Mus musculus: one gene and its partner. The protein of the gene in region 1 purifies or fractionates together with the protein of each later gene. This does not show direct contact. Links are inferred from orthologs where the notes say so. Each region holds a gene or a part of one and is shown on either strand. Other genes may lie near its edges.

What was found.
Region 2: the proteins of Pag1 (region 1) and Fyn purify together in Homo sapiens (co-immunoprecipitation; 3 studies listed by BioGRID and IntAct, with this or other methods). This does not show direct contact. The link is inferred for Mus musculus from reciprocal best matches to the Homo sapiens genes PAG1 and FYN.

Annotation. Positions count from the first base shown.
Region 1 is NC_000069.6:9,829,315-9,836,668, reverse strand, and holds the start of Pag1 (phosphoprotein associated with glycosphingolipid-enriched microdomains 1), read left to right. Parts: upstream 1-2,989; 5' UTR 2,990-3,458; intron 3,459-6,299; exon of another isoform or gene 6,300-6,350; intron 6,351-7,354. UniProt on the Homo sapiens protein: Negatively regulates TCR (T-cell antigen receptor)-mediated signaling in T-cells and FCER1 (high affinity immunoglobulin epsilon receptor)-mediated signaling in mast cells.
Region 2 is NC_000076.6:39,366,673-39,374,133, reverse strand, and holds the start of Fyn (tyrosine-protein kinase Fyn), read right to left. Parts: upstream 4,336-7,461; 5' UTR 3,944-4,335; intron 1-3,943. UniProt on the Homo sapiens protein: Non-receptor tyrosine-protein kinase that plays a role in many biological processes including regulation of cell growth and survival, cell adhesion, integrin-mediated signaling, cytoskeletal remodeling, cell motility, immune response and axon guidance.

The DNA of each region.
Region 1 (7,354 bases):
ACTCATTCGTTTCTAATTTATAATCAAAAGAGACTATATATACAGTTGAGAGAGGTTAACCTCTGTAGAATAATATATAAATACACACTTGCTTCCAAAACTTCACACACAGGGAGTGCTATCTATGCATTAACTAATAAAGATCGTCTTTGAAACACGTGTGAGTTCTCATTGGATGATTGCAGATCCTGATCTGAGCAATTTGGAAATGGAAATGAATCTCTAGTGTGTCGTTTGGTAAAGGGAGCTTGGGAAAGAGACTGAATCAGTGATTTCTCCTCGTTCACTCTTCCTGTGTGAAATGAGGATGGTAATTGCACTTGTCCCCAGAGAGTGTGAATGTTGCCCTTCTAAATCCCTGGCAATCTTGTGTAGGTAACTGCAGGATTCTGATGCTCTGGAAACCACTTTGTGCAGCCCTAATTCAAGAAGCTGCAAAGTGGGATGGAGACAAGAGACATACTTCTTCCTTAGAAAAAATGAAAGCCTTCCTAACTCAAAAAGTTCGCAATGTGTTTTTCTTCGTTAGGGTTTTACTGCTGTGACCAAGGCACCTTTTATAAGGACAACATTTAATTGGGGCTGACTCATGGGTTCAGAGGTTCAGTCCATTATCATCAAGGTGGGAACATGGCAGCATCCAGGCAGGCATGGCGCTGGAGGAGCTGAGAGTTCTACATCTTCATATGAAGGCTGCTAGCAGAATATTGGCTTCCAGGAAGTTAGAAGTAAGGTATTAAAGCCCACAACCACAGTGACACACCTATTCCAGCAAGGCCACACCTCCTAATAATGCCACCAACCTGGGCAGAGCATATTCAAACAATCACAGTCTCTCAAACTATGTGGAAAATATTGCAGAGTTTTCTTTATAAGATTCCAGTCATTTCCTGTTACCTGAAGCTTGCTCACACCGGAGCCAGAGCATGGCGTACCTGCTCAGTGGGCGTTCTCTTCTTGGTGCTTATTCTTTGACTTGATTGCTGTGTGTGTGACATATGTGCATATACATGATCATGTGTGTGCATGAGCACACATGGAGAGCCCAGAGTTTGATAGTGGGTGCTTTCCTCAATTGCTCTGCACCTCATTTTTGAGTCAGGATCTTTCACTGAACCTGGATGTCCCTGATTGAGCCTGGTCCCCAAGTCCCACTGATCGCTCCATCTCCACACCCCCAGATCTGAAATAGCAGATGTGGCTTCAACATCTGGCTTTGTAAGTGGTCCCTTTCTAGGGATCCCAATCCAGGTCCTCTTGTGTGTGCAGCAAGCACTGCATCAACTAAGCCCCACAGAATGCATTTTTTTAAGAGCAAAAAATAGATACAATAACTTCCTATATCTAATTTAGAAGATCATTGTGGGATTCAATGAGGTAAGTCATTGTGGTGGTTAATCTTGTCAGCTTTACAGGACTTGGTGTGTCTTAGGGAAAGGTGTTCCCAGAGAGGCTTATCTGAGGAGGGGAGGCTCTTGCTGCCCTTGGGCAGTGCCATAGCATGGACTGGGATATTGGAATAAAAAGGACTAAACACCTCTCATCCATCCCGACTGTCAATGCCGTGTGACCGACTTCCTCACGCTGCTGCCTTCTGCGCCATGGTAGACTGGACCCTCAAAGCATGGCTCGAACCAAAGCCTTCATTCCCTGAGTCGCTGCTGTTGCCAAACATTTTGTCACAGCAATGAGAAAAGTCACTAGTACAGCCTGGTGGTGAAATCCAGACCTTTATAAGTTCTCAAACCAACGAACCTCTCACCGTCCTCTAAATCCAGCCAAGTTGGATCCTGCATCCTTATTCTCAAAGTACCTTTCCAAGCTGAAGACTGAGTTTAATATCTCCTACACATCCTCCTCTGCAACGTATTAACATTCCTTTCTCCTTTACTCAACTCCCTATTCCCACCCCTTTGCTCCTAATGAGCCGTTTTTATCCAGCCAACTTCACACTACCTGAGTGAATGTGTGTATGTTTAATATCACTCGTGCCTGTTCTTCCCCATTAGAGAAAACAAATGAACTTGTCAGACAAATAACTGTTTGGTTTAGAGTTCAGTGGACTTGGCTCAGAAGTCCTGAGTGTCACATCTGGACTGGTTATTTGTTTCCACACTGTCTATCCCCATTTCCGGGTTGCTTGTTTAATAAGTTAAAATTCAAGGCCAACAAAACCCTTGTCAGATTTATCTGCAGCTTGTTCCAGGCAATATTCGAGTCCTCCCCACCCCACCCCACTCCCCCACACAATCTCCCCTCCCACTCCCTCCCCCAGTGCCCAGTGGGTGAACCCGAACCATAGTGGATACGCCTTGGAAATTCCAAGTTAAAAGCATTTTCACCTGATTCTCAGGCAGACCCACACGCCAGTAGCTGCTCTGGGGTCTCTGTCCTCGTAAGTGGCAAGGAAGAACAGGGTGTGGGAGGCTTGCAGCCCTGGAATAGTCTTGGACCCTATTGGAATAGGGATTCCCCATCCTCCAGACCTTCTGAATGTGCGTAGGCAAGTGTTGTATTACCATACAACCAGCACATTCTCTTGGGGAGCTTTGGGCAAGGCTATTTACAACCTACATACCTGGGCCCCACCTCTCAGAGTCTCCTGTGTTTACTTTGGAGTCCAGCCAGGACAAAGGGCTCCTACAAGCTCCTCAAGTTCTTACTCTGCATCAGATCAAAGTGAAAGGTGTCCTGCAAATTGCAGTCCTTGAAGGTTAAGCAACCATCTGGGTTAAACTTGACCTTTGCAGGCTGTCCTGGGACCCTAAGGCAGTTCCCCATAGACTGCTTCTTAAGGGACAATGGGCTAAGGAGACAACCTCAGTCACAGAGTTTTTGGTCACCAGCCCTGATTTTGCGAAGCTCCAGCTCCTTGCCCTGCAGCTGGCAGCCACATTAGCCTCGCAGCAACCCCCCCCCCGACCCCGCCCCACCCTTCTCGCTCCGCCCAACCCCGCCCGTTGGCACCGCCCCCGTGACGTGCCGCAGCAGTCGCGAACATGCGCACTGAGTCCCGCGCGCTGCTCCGCCTCGGCGCTGTCATTCTCCGCGGCGCGGCGGCCAGTGCGGACTGCGGTTCCCGCCCGGCGCGCGGGTGCTGTGACTGCTCCTCCGGGGCGGACTGGTGACTCTGCAGCGCTCTGGAGCCTCTCGTGCGGGGACTCCGTGGTGTCGCATTCCCTCAGAGAGGGAGACACGCACCCGGAGCTCCGAGCACAGCTCTCAAGGGCTGGCGGCCACGACGGCGTTTGCTCGGGTTCCCGGTGCAGTCCGAGTCTCTGCGGCCGCCCGGTGCGCCCGGGAGAGCGCACCTCCCCCGGCACGGCAGAACCGAGGCGACGAGGATCAGGAGGGTCCTGCGCCCGCTACCACTGCCCACCGCGGGCCAGCCCGGCTGCGAGCAGCGGAGTTGCAGCGCTTTTTAGAGCTCTGGAGCCCCAGAAGACCTCTGCGAACCAGTAAGTTGACTGTAGTTTCTGAAGTTTCGGGCAGCGTGGGAAGGACAGGTTCGTTTTATTCCTGTGGTTCCAGGCCGAGGTTTTACCTCCCGTTAGCGGGGCTGCGGCTGGAGGAAGGCGTACTGGACTGTAAAGGATGGGGCATGGCATTCGAAGACTCAAGGCTGGAGTCTAGGGCTGGCTCCTGCCTCTCCCGAATGTGCCAGCTGGAAATGTGCTAGGGGAGACAGGTGCTCCGAGGGCATTTGGCCCGCCGCTAAATTGCACATTCTGAGCTCCTTGATTTTGCGCCGCGTGGGGTCAGGGACGTCAGCCACCTCCATCCTAGGAAGCTCTGCCTACATCCCCTCCATCCCCTCGGAGGACTGGCACAGAGATGAGAAGCTGAGACATTGCTGCTCGGGCCTGCAGGCTTTCTGCACATCCCACTTCACTCTTCCCTTAGGCAGAAGTTGCCAACCTCCCATAATTGGAGCCTAGCCCTTTAGGGAAAAACAACTTATGTGTCAAATGAGTGTTTTGTGCTCCAAGGCATAGAAAATGAGAAAAGTGCTCTATGCGTTTTAATTCATATGCTTTAAGAATGTGGGCAAGTCTCAAAGAAACAGGATTCCGAGGATGGCTGAGTTGTCCTGCATCTCTTATGTAAGCCTCCTGGCTGGGTACCTTTGCATCTGCAGGGGCTGCATCTGGGCCTCTACTCACTCCATTTTTTTTTTCAAGTCCAGCTTGAGCCGTATTTAATAAAAACGTTGACATGATATAGTGGTTCGTAGTCAGAAACAGGGCAGTCTTTAAATTAGACTGTCTTCTCCTAATAGGGAGCATGGGAGGAAGAACTTGGTGTATTTTTTTCAAGGCAGTTCAAGGAATTAGATACATAAATCATGCTTTAAAATACCATACATTGTACAGAGAGCATGCACAGAACCCTCTTTAGAACACATCCCCTTTTGTTTTAGTAAAAGTGGAGATTTGCTCATACCAGACAATTGTTGAGTCTGAAAGTGAAGTGCACTGATGGCCTTAATTATCTTAATAAACAAAGAGCATGATTTATAGGTAGCTACAGTGGCCTACTTTGAAGGGTAGAAATCTTTAACCTTTCATTCTCAGCTGCCCCTAGAGATTCCTTTTAAGCAGAGCAATGGATTAATGCCATTGATGTTTAATACTTGAGTTGATTAAATTTGTAAAAGGAATTCTTTGAAATACCATACAGCCCTGCTGTGTGACTGATAGGCAGTGACTGTTATAAAGAAAGATAATATTTAGAGTACCAGCTTTGCATTAACCAAACAGCTCATATTGCAGCTGCCCTGTGATACACATGTATCCATAGATGGAAAGAAATATGCACACAGAAAAATATATACATGCATATGGATTTGAAATAAAAACTCAGGGATGTGAGTCAATGTGAGATTTATTTAGGTGACCTTTAGAAAGAGGCATGTATGGGTTAGAGTGCTTCAGTGGATATAACAAGATGAACTAACTAGTTATAGGCACCTGGTTTAAGCATAGTTATTATTTTAAGGATTCTAAGAAAAAAGAAAGATTATTTTAACGTTGAAAAGCTAGTTATCACATTGTAGTTTATAGGAGCATTGAGTGCTGACCCCTAGAAGAAATTTTGTCCAAGTGTGGGCTTTCAAGAGACCAGGCTGTTGGCACTATTGCTGGCTTTGAATCTGAGCAATACCGGAATTCTGTGCCCGGCGTCTCCATCTGTAAAATAGGTGGGTGTAATTGCAGTACCTTCCTGGTTGGGTTGTGCGAGGCTTAAGTGGAATCCTGATGAGAAGGTATTGAGCTGGTGTCAAGTATCGTAGGCTGACTTTGGGGAAAAAGTTTCATGCTGTGAAAGGAAATTTGTCTTGGGATAAGCTGTAGACATTAAACAGCTGTTGCTGGAGGTCAGTAGAAGCAGTGCACATGTGTAATAGGAGAGAGGATATAAACACCCTGGCCACATGTTAATATTGGATTTACTGTCTCCAGCAGTGCCTCCCTGAAGGCCTTCTATGGAGATGGCTTTGTCTTGATGTTAGAGAGGAAGAAACTGAGGCCGAGAGAGATCAAGTAGTAGAAATTAGAGCTGGCATCTTAAACATGCCTGTTGGAATCTTGTTCTTTGACCCTGCTGCCTCAACTTGCAAGCAATGTGGGTGGGTTATCCTTTCTCCACGGGAAGTTTATGTTTAAAGTTTCAAGTATGCAAAGTGCTAAATAGCACTCCTTCTTCGAGACTGGAAGCTATTATCATCAACTTCTCTGTTATTAAATGCCAGGCCCTGGTTGCAAACCCCGTTTAGTGCTATTGTGAGAAAGATAACAGGGTGTTTTGCCTTCAGCTGAAACTGGATTCTGTTACTTCTTTCTTCCCTGTTTATACATTCGTAGAACCAAAGAGAAAAGTTGGGTAACTTGATACTTTGTATTGGTGGTTGATGCTCGCTATTCTGCCTCCCTGCAGCCTGTGTCTTTGCTGTCTGTGGTCCACATGGACACAAGCAGCAATAATCAGCCAGCATTGTCTCTGAGCATAGCCCAGTGTCCAAGGAAGAACTCCACTCAGGCAGAGAGATGGGGCCTTGTGCTTATCTTGAACTCAGTGTTCTGAAGTGGAAATCATTTATCCATCACATCTATGGGCACACTTCCTTTAGTCTTAGGTTTAAAGCCATAGGAAGCAGTTGTTGGCGGATTCCATACGAGCTATTTTGGTTTAAAATCTCCATGGACTGTTGAGTTTCTCTTCTGAGTTCTAGGGTGTGGGGTGATTGAGTGGCCATGGTACTTTGGGCTTTCTTAGGTATTCTGGTCTTTATCTTTTAGATACTGAAATCAATTGCTATAGAAAGCTCCTAGGCAGCTGACTCACCCCAGGTGAGTGAATGTTTACTGAAACCCTCCTAGCTGATATCCTTACCACTAAAAGTACTCTAAGATGGATGCTCACTGCTACCTGGCTGATGCTCTGGATCTCTCTCCCCTCCTAACCCCCCCCCTCTCTGTGTGTGTGTGTGTGTGTGTGTATGTGTGTGTGTGTATGTATGTATGTGCGTGCCATGTATCTGTCTCTCCAAAGCTGCTCAACAGTGAGTTTCCAGTAGTGAGCTTCTGAGAGCCTTTGGAGGCACAACGCCACAACTGCAGTATGCCAAAAAGAACTCCTGCCACCAACCGAGTTCTCTCTACTGATATTTCATCCTTCCTTTTCAAACAATACATACACACTTTGCCTCAGTAGCTAGATTCCAGCTGTTCCCTGTTCTGGATTTTCTGATCAAATGTCTCCCTGGAACATGGCTATAACTAGAGCTAACCCTGTGAAAATAATTTCCATATGGATGTTTTATTTCCTATTTGTGTTGTTATAGTGGATTTTCTGTTGTCACTTTTAAATCTACAAGAAATCCTTCCCCCCCTCAAAACACACACATCCGTTTTCTTTTGCTCTCAGAAGACTGATGTACAACTACAGACATCCTACCCTTCATTCACCCAATCTTATATGATTTCTGAAGCTAAGCAGGCTTGGGCCTGCTTAGTCCATGGATGGGAGACGGCTCAGGCATATAGTCTGCACATTAATTGTAATATGGATATAAGTGAGTAAAGACCATTTACTCTTCCTTAATCGCATTACTCCTGTGGATTTTTCACTTTTATCTGAGGAGCTGGGACTTGATTTTGATCCTACCTCATTCAGTGTATGGGCTGACTTGGAAGTTACACACTTAAGTTATACAGACAAGGTCAGGATGCTGCAGAGTTCAGGGGCTTGGGGTAGATTTGAGAGAAGACAGCCTTGAGCATGATTTATCTGACCACTTTTCTAGTCGCTACTGGTCATGCTTTCTGATAAGAGCTCTTATCGTAATATTCAG
Region 2 (7,461 bases), on another chromosome or scaffold:
AGGCACTCAGAACACGCACTTTCAAAACAATCTTTTCAATTTCTCCTTCAGCTTGGTTCTAGCCCTCTGTCCATATCTCCACTGTGCCCATCTAGTTTTGAACTAGTTACAGCATCCCAAACGATACAAAGGACTTCCCACAATATCCAGCTAACCAAGTCTCACTCCCACCTACCTCCTCCTGCACCTGGTGGCCTAGGGTAAAGATACTGTAGCCACACTAACTGTTCCTGATCCCGACTCTTCCCTTAGAATTAGCTACTCAAGACTATTGAAGCTTGTAACTTTCCTTTCACAACACAGTGATTATCAGAGACATTGTTTCATATCATTATCGCTCAGATTAGCTTGTAAGTGGAACATGACCCAGGGTGAGTGCTCAATAAACATCAGCTATTGTGTGTTGTTGCCATCTTCTCTAGTAGGCTGTGGGCTTCTGTAGAACAAGGGCTCCGATGCATTCAGTGCCACAGCCCTATCTCATTGCTTTTTTGCATGAAACAGCACAGTGTTTGTAGGACAGATAAATGTAAGGAAATGGTCACTGAAAAAAATAAAAGTACAATATAAACTGTAATCACCAGTATGGGCTGGACTCCTATACTAATGTAGGGGGTCGGTGGAGACCAGGAACCATTTGGAACACTAGCAGTTCCCCTATTCCAGGTCCAGAAGCTAACGGATTAGCCTCCATGTAACGTGTTGGATGAAAAGACACAGCCAAGAAAGCTGGTGATGGAAAGATGCTGAAGGAAAAGAGGAAAAGCCTAATTCCCAACTAAACCAGCAACTGTCATAAAAGAAAGCCGTGTCAGTGAATAGACAGTAACGGAGGTTCAGTCCTTAGTAACCTAAGCAAATAGATACGACTCTCACTCCCTTGTCTGCACTGTCCAGTCCCCATGAAGCCCTCCCTCCTCTGGGGTCACCAAGTGTCAGTTTAATTGTTAAGGAAAGTACGTAAAATGGTACTGCGATCTGTAAGGCTCTTCCCTTACAGAAACTCTCTGGAGTTTCCAGACTTGCCTGAAGAAGACTAGGCCAAGATGGGTGCTTCTGTGGTAAAAGAACCCCATCAAAGACCGCAGAGCCAGGACTGAGTGGTGGCTAAGGATCGCCCCGTGATAAGTGGTCCCCCGAAATCACAAAATGCCAGGTTTTTAAAAAACATGCTGAAGATGAAAATCAAAGCAACCAAACAATGATGGCTTTTGTTAAGTGTTATTATGCAAAAGTGTTTACCAAACACACAAGCCTTTTCCTTTCTCGGGGCACATGGCTAACCTACACTTCTCATTGGATTCTCTTGCTGTTAAGCATGGTCATATAGCCACGACTCTTCTAAAGACAGAGTGGAAGTGACATGTGCAGACCAAAGCATTTTAAAGGTAGATGCACCCTCCCCAACTCTTCATCCCACCAATCCGTTGAAACAGGTTGAAACTGTTACAACAGGTTATGGAAAGCTGTGGCATGATAGGATAATGGGACCCAGAATCACTCAGGACAGAAGAAAGCCAGCTACTGAGCAGAGACACCTATGCAGGGCTACATGTGAACAAAAATAAATATATTTTGGTTTAGCACCATTATACATTTTCAGGCCTGCTCTAGCTACTAACATGAGTCTCTTTTAAAAGACGTTGGGTCCATATCGTTGATCTAATTCACATTTGTCGCTCATTAAATGGAACTACCAGGTAATACCAACAAAAGTAAAACCTGACAGAAACCAAGAAACCATTGGGTTAGGTTCTCTACCCAATGGCAGAAATGGACAGAAAACAAAAACAGAATCTGATAATGGTGTTGGAAGACAAATTTGAAGACATGGTGGCTTGCCTGGAGCAGAGAAGCTGGCAAAGGCTTCAGAATTGACACGTGTGCTGGGCCTGGGCTTCAAGAACATCAGACGATGGGGGAGGGGACTTCAGACCTCCAGAAAGTAGAGGTGTTCGCCCACACTCATGCAACCTTATCATTAATAAGTGCCTCTGACTTGGTCAGTACGGTGCAAGTTTATCGTGTACTGACTTTCCTTTCTGGGTCTGGCATCCCAACAAACCAGCCTTTGTTTTCAGAGAACATTCAGTATTAGCCCTTCTACTGTGTGTGTATATGTATAAATATATATGTTCCACAAAAGATGTCAGCTTAATGGATCACAACTCTTTTCAGATAAAACAGCTAAAGAGTAAACTTGGGACAGTTTCGTTACTTTCAACAGTTGAGACCCCACAACCCAGGAATCAGCAGATCAGACCTAAGTTTTGACAAACTAAGCCTGAGACTTACATTAACATTTCTACCTTCAGAGGAACACCATAGGTTCTGAACTCAGACATCTACATCCCCTGTTCATAATTAACTAGACCCAAAGTGTGAGAGTTGAAACCACTTCCTCCAAGTCTGAATGTGTGGTACTCACTGGGTAGAGCCAGACAGGGAGACTGAGCACAAAGGGTGAGAGGCCGGATGTGAGCTTCCAAAGTCAACCTTGAAGCAGACAAGTGGTACACCTCCAGGGTCTTCCAAACGCCAGCCCAAGTGCTTGCTATCCATGGCCCCAGTTTCTTAAATAAAAGGGCTAGGCAGCATTGCTGGGCAGACCAGAGCACATTTCAAAAGACTTCACTCAGCAAAGAGGCCTTGGACTTTAGGGAATCCAGTCAGGCTGCCTCACTCGTGTTAAACAGTTTGATTCTGACTCAGACACAAAATTCTTCTGATCCCTCATCAATTTATCCTGTCTCAGGTATCAGTAACTATCCCCCAAGAAGAAAAGGGGGGAAATGAGGGATAGGGGAAGGTTCCTTGAAAGTATAGCAACTCCTAAAACAGCTGAAATAATCCCCCCCACCACCACCTTAAATAGAGAAAACTGCAGTTGCCACTCAATGCTACCAGTCTGTAAACACAGCTAAATGCCTGCACCTGCCACCCGGGATCCGGGAGCCTTCATTTTTTGGTAAGTGTGGCAGAAAAGACTAAGAGATCAACTGCTTCACCAGAAAGAAAGGGACGCCCCAGGGATGAGACACAAGAAGCATGGTGCCCTGGGTACTTTATGTGTCTCTCCTCTATGAACTGAAAGGGCTCTTTGTGTCACACACACACTCACACACACACACACACAGAATGAGTCTGATTTATTAGAGGAAGGAGGGGCAAAACGGGTGATTTTATTATCCCTCCTCCCAGTGAGTCCCAGCAAACGCCTCCTGGGCCCAAGCTTGGTGGCCTCTTTCTAGCTCAGTCAGTCCCTGTGGCCTCAAAGATAAGAGAGCCTAGAGGAGACCAAACAAAACCGTCTACCGACCTAGGGAAGTAGGGAGGAAATCCAGCGTGTCGAGAAGGGAGGAGAAATAAGCTTGAGAGAGCAAAAGGGGTGGGGGGACAGAGGAAGAGGAGGCAAGGCCAGACACAGGGGAAAGGGGAAGGGTGGGTGGGTGGTAGCACAGGAAGGGTGAAGGGGAGGGTGGGGGAAGTGCAAGGGAGGTTCCAGAAATAGGCAGGAGGATGCGCTGGGGAACGGCAAGGGCCACCGAGGGAGGAAGCCGAGAGGTGGAGGAGTGGGGCAGGGGTTGGGTGGGGAGGAAAGCAGCACGGGGCATCAATTATTAAGTGATTACATCATCCCTGACATTAAAACAACACACACAGCCCTGGTCCCCGCGGGGGGCCGCGAAAGGAGGGCGGGGGCGGAGCTGGGCCAACCTCACCCCCAAGCCAATTCCTATTTTCCACCCGGCACCCGCCGGCGGCCGAGGAAAGACACCCCGGTGCCTGCGCAGCCTCGGGGCGGCACCCCGCATCAGTGTCCTGCGTCGCGGGGCGCCCTGGAGGCTGCGCGGCGGGACCGCAGCGGGAGCAGCCCGTGCGGGGGCGCTGGGCCGGGCGTCTCCGCAGCATCCCGAGGCTCCGCGCATCCCCTGTCGCTTACCTGCTTGGCTTGGCGCTCAGCTCCGGAGCACATTCACATGGTCCTCTCCCCGCCCTCCTCCGGCGCGGCCCAGGCGGCTCCCGCGGCTCCGCGGCGGGGCCCAGGAGCTCGTGGGCCTCGCGAAGCGCCGAGGGGGCGGCGCCGGTGTCCCCGGCCCGGCAGCCCGGTCCCTCCCTGGCGCGGGTGGCGGCTTTGTGTGTGCCCGGGGAGTCCTCGAAACGCTCCGGCTAGAGGCGGCCTCGCTGAGCTCTTGACCAGCGGGCGGGTCTCGGAGGCCCGGCGCACGGCGACCCCTCCTCCTCTCTGCGGAGCCCCCTCCCCGCCGGCTGCGCTCCTGACAGATGGCGCAACTGCACCGACGCGCCGCCGCCACCGCCGCGGCTTCTCGCAGCTACTCTCGCTGATGCTCGGGCTGCTCCGGATCCCGAGGGGTTCGAGAGGGGGCGGGACACGCCCTGAGACTGTCAGGTCTTTCTGCCCTATCAAAGGGCCCGCTGAGGGCTGAGCGCCGGCAGCCATTGGTGAATGCGTCGGAGGCGGGACGGCCATGGGTGGGGCCGCCGAGTGGGTTGAGCTTTACAGTGGTGGCGGGCAGCCTGCGGTGCGCACGGCCACAGGGTGTGTGAGAGGATGCGAGGTTGGCGGAGAAGGAAGAGTTGTGTGTCTGAGGATCGTGTGGAGTTGCGAGTTGGTGAGGTGGGCAGGAGAGTGCGCAGGGAATGAGCTGCTTTCCACTTTGCCAGTGGAGACTGGCACCTGCCACTCCAGCCTCACAGCCATGGGAACCTATTTCTCCAAAGAGATAGCCTCGCCTTTGAGAGTGGGAGGATAAAATGGAAAGGTGTTAAGAATGGCGATGGCAAATTAGGGAAGTGAGGAGCAAAGTAGAGAAGTACCATTGCAGAAACTGGGAAAGCTAGGACCAGCAAACGCACAACAAATAGTAAGAAATTAATGACTTGTTAGTCTCATTTTCTTGGGTACCCAAATATGCTCCCCGCCCCCCCCCCCACACCTACCCCAGGAAAAGTGAAAGAGAAGTATGACTGAAATTCAAGGGGCCTGCAACAAAGAGTCCCAAAACCACCCAGTAGAGATTGCTTGTGCTTTTCCCTAGCTGTTTACCAGTGGCCATTGCTCGTCTGGCTCCTTGGGGCATTCAAACTTCTCTTGGTTTTCTTGTTTTCGCTGGTGGCTGAGCTGAGCTTTTTGCTCAGATTTTCCTTGACGAAATAATAGCCGGGTTGGTCTGCAGTCTTTATTTCCGATTCAGCTTTTCTATGGCAGGATGTAACTTCATAAAAAGAAACATTTTGCCTTCCTGATTTTCTTTATAGGCAATTCCTGTTTACTGAGAACTCTGTTTTAAGACATGTTCAGAATCATTTTCTTTAATGATTTTGGTAAGAAACTCATCCCTCCCCCTCAGCAAATCTAATCTTCTAAGAAGTAAGTTTAAGCGAAGCAGCCTTGGCTTCCTTAGGCGCTCAAGGTCTGTGTTATCTTTCCTGCTCAGTACATTTCCCCTGTAGTTTAAAAATACCAGTCTCTTTTGCTGACTTTTTTTTCTTTGTCTTTTCCGCAGTGCTCTTTTGAGAAATTTGCTGCTATTCAGTAAATGATCCTCATGTGATGGACGAGGAAACTGAGGACAAGAGAAGGTGACACTGAGGAATTCCATGTCCGATCTCTTCCTGAAACCTGGAGCAGATGGTACTAAGTCACTCCATTGTTAATAATTTCTTTGAGAGGAGTCTCATTTTTGGCATCTGCAGCATAATAGCTTCTTCACGTAATTAGTGGACCAATAAGAGGCAAAATGATTAAATGACAAATTAACCAACTCCCAGCAAGACTCTGTTCTGTTTTTTTCTCTTTACTTACTTTTGAAAAAAATAAATAAAAACAAAAAAACAGGAAAACCCCACAACTCTTCCTCCGGATAGCTTTAAAGGGATTCTGTCTCCACAAGAAGATTTGCTGATGTTGTGAACAAGTGAGAAAGCCCTGGAAAGATGTTAGCATTATTTCCCATTTTGATCTGCTCCCAAAGGTCATCAAAGTAGATTTGACTTAAACAGTGTCCTCAGCCTACCCAAGGCAAGCCATGCTTTGTTCTAAACCTGAAATTTTATTTTCTTACAGGCAGTATCTATTACCCAACAAATGGAGAGACATTGTTCTAGAATTTCTCTTAGATTTGGTTGTTATTTGCTTGGGTTTTTGTTTGTTCTGTTTCTCTCACCTTTAAGTCCCCTGTTTCTAGTCTAGTGTTCTTTTTTGGTTTGTCTAATCTGTGTTTCCTGTTTTGCTTTCAATGTATATTTAGTGTTATTAGCTAAGCTGTTTCCCATTTTGAGATTTTTGTTTTCTTACCAATCAAACAAGAAAATAAAAATGGTTACTGAAACTGGAAAAAAAAACTAATGTGCAAGGAAGGGAGATGGATCAGTGAATAAATGGCTTGCTGCTGTACACATGAGACTGAGTCTGAGTCCCCAAAACACACATTAACAAAGCCCCAAAACACACATTATCAAAACCGTTACAGCCGGGCGGTAGTGGCTCACTCCTTTAATCCCAGCACTTGGGAGGCAGAAGCAGGTGGATTTCTGAGTTTGAGGTCTACAGCCTGGTCTACAAAGTGAGTTCCAAGACAGCCAGGGCTATACAGAGAAACTCTGTCTCAGAAAAAAAAAAAAAAAGAAAGAAAGAAAAAAGAAAAGAAAAGAAAAAGAAAGAAAAGAAAAGAAAAGAAAAGAGAAAAATACAAAACAAAACAAAAATGAAAGCCGTTACAGTGGCAAGTGTCTGGACCTCCAGAAACAGTGAGAGACCCTGTCTGAGAAATATGTTAGAGAACCAATTTAGAAAGCCCAGCATTGACCTCTGGCTTCCACAGGCACTGCATATGTGTGCAAGTGCACCCCCAAGCATGTATGAACACCTCTAAACATGTATGCATACACACCTTACACAAAGACACACAGATATGTACAAAGGAAATGCATTCTAAGTGACCACGCCTCAGCATATGCCCAAAAGACATGATGACATCATACCTCACAGCTACTTGCTCAGCCATATTCATTGCCATTCTAGTCACAATAGCTAGGACATGGTGACAACCTAAATGTTCTTCAGCTAAAGACAATGTGGGACGCGTACCCAGTGGAATACTCAACTGTAAAGAAAAATGAAACCATGGAATTTTTCAGGCAAATGGGTAGAGCTATTTTGATAGAGAGCTATTTGGATAGCTATTTTGGGTAGAGATCATTTTGAGTGATGTGACTCAGACCCAGGAAAACACACATCCCATGCTCTTTCTCATCTGTGGTTCCCAGTTCCAAGTTTTCATATGTGAGTGCGTAATCTGGAGGAACTGCAAAGCCCCGGAAAGTAGAGGAGAAAATGGCAGAAATGGGGAATGGTGGGGTACAGGCAAATTGGAGGAGGAAATAGGAAAAATTGAAAGGGGTTAATTTGGGAGAGGGGAGAGAGATAAATACAGGAGA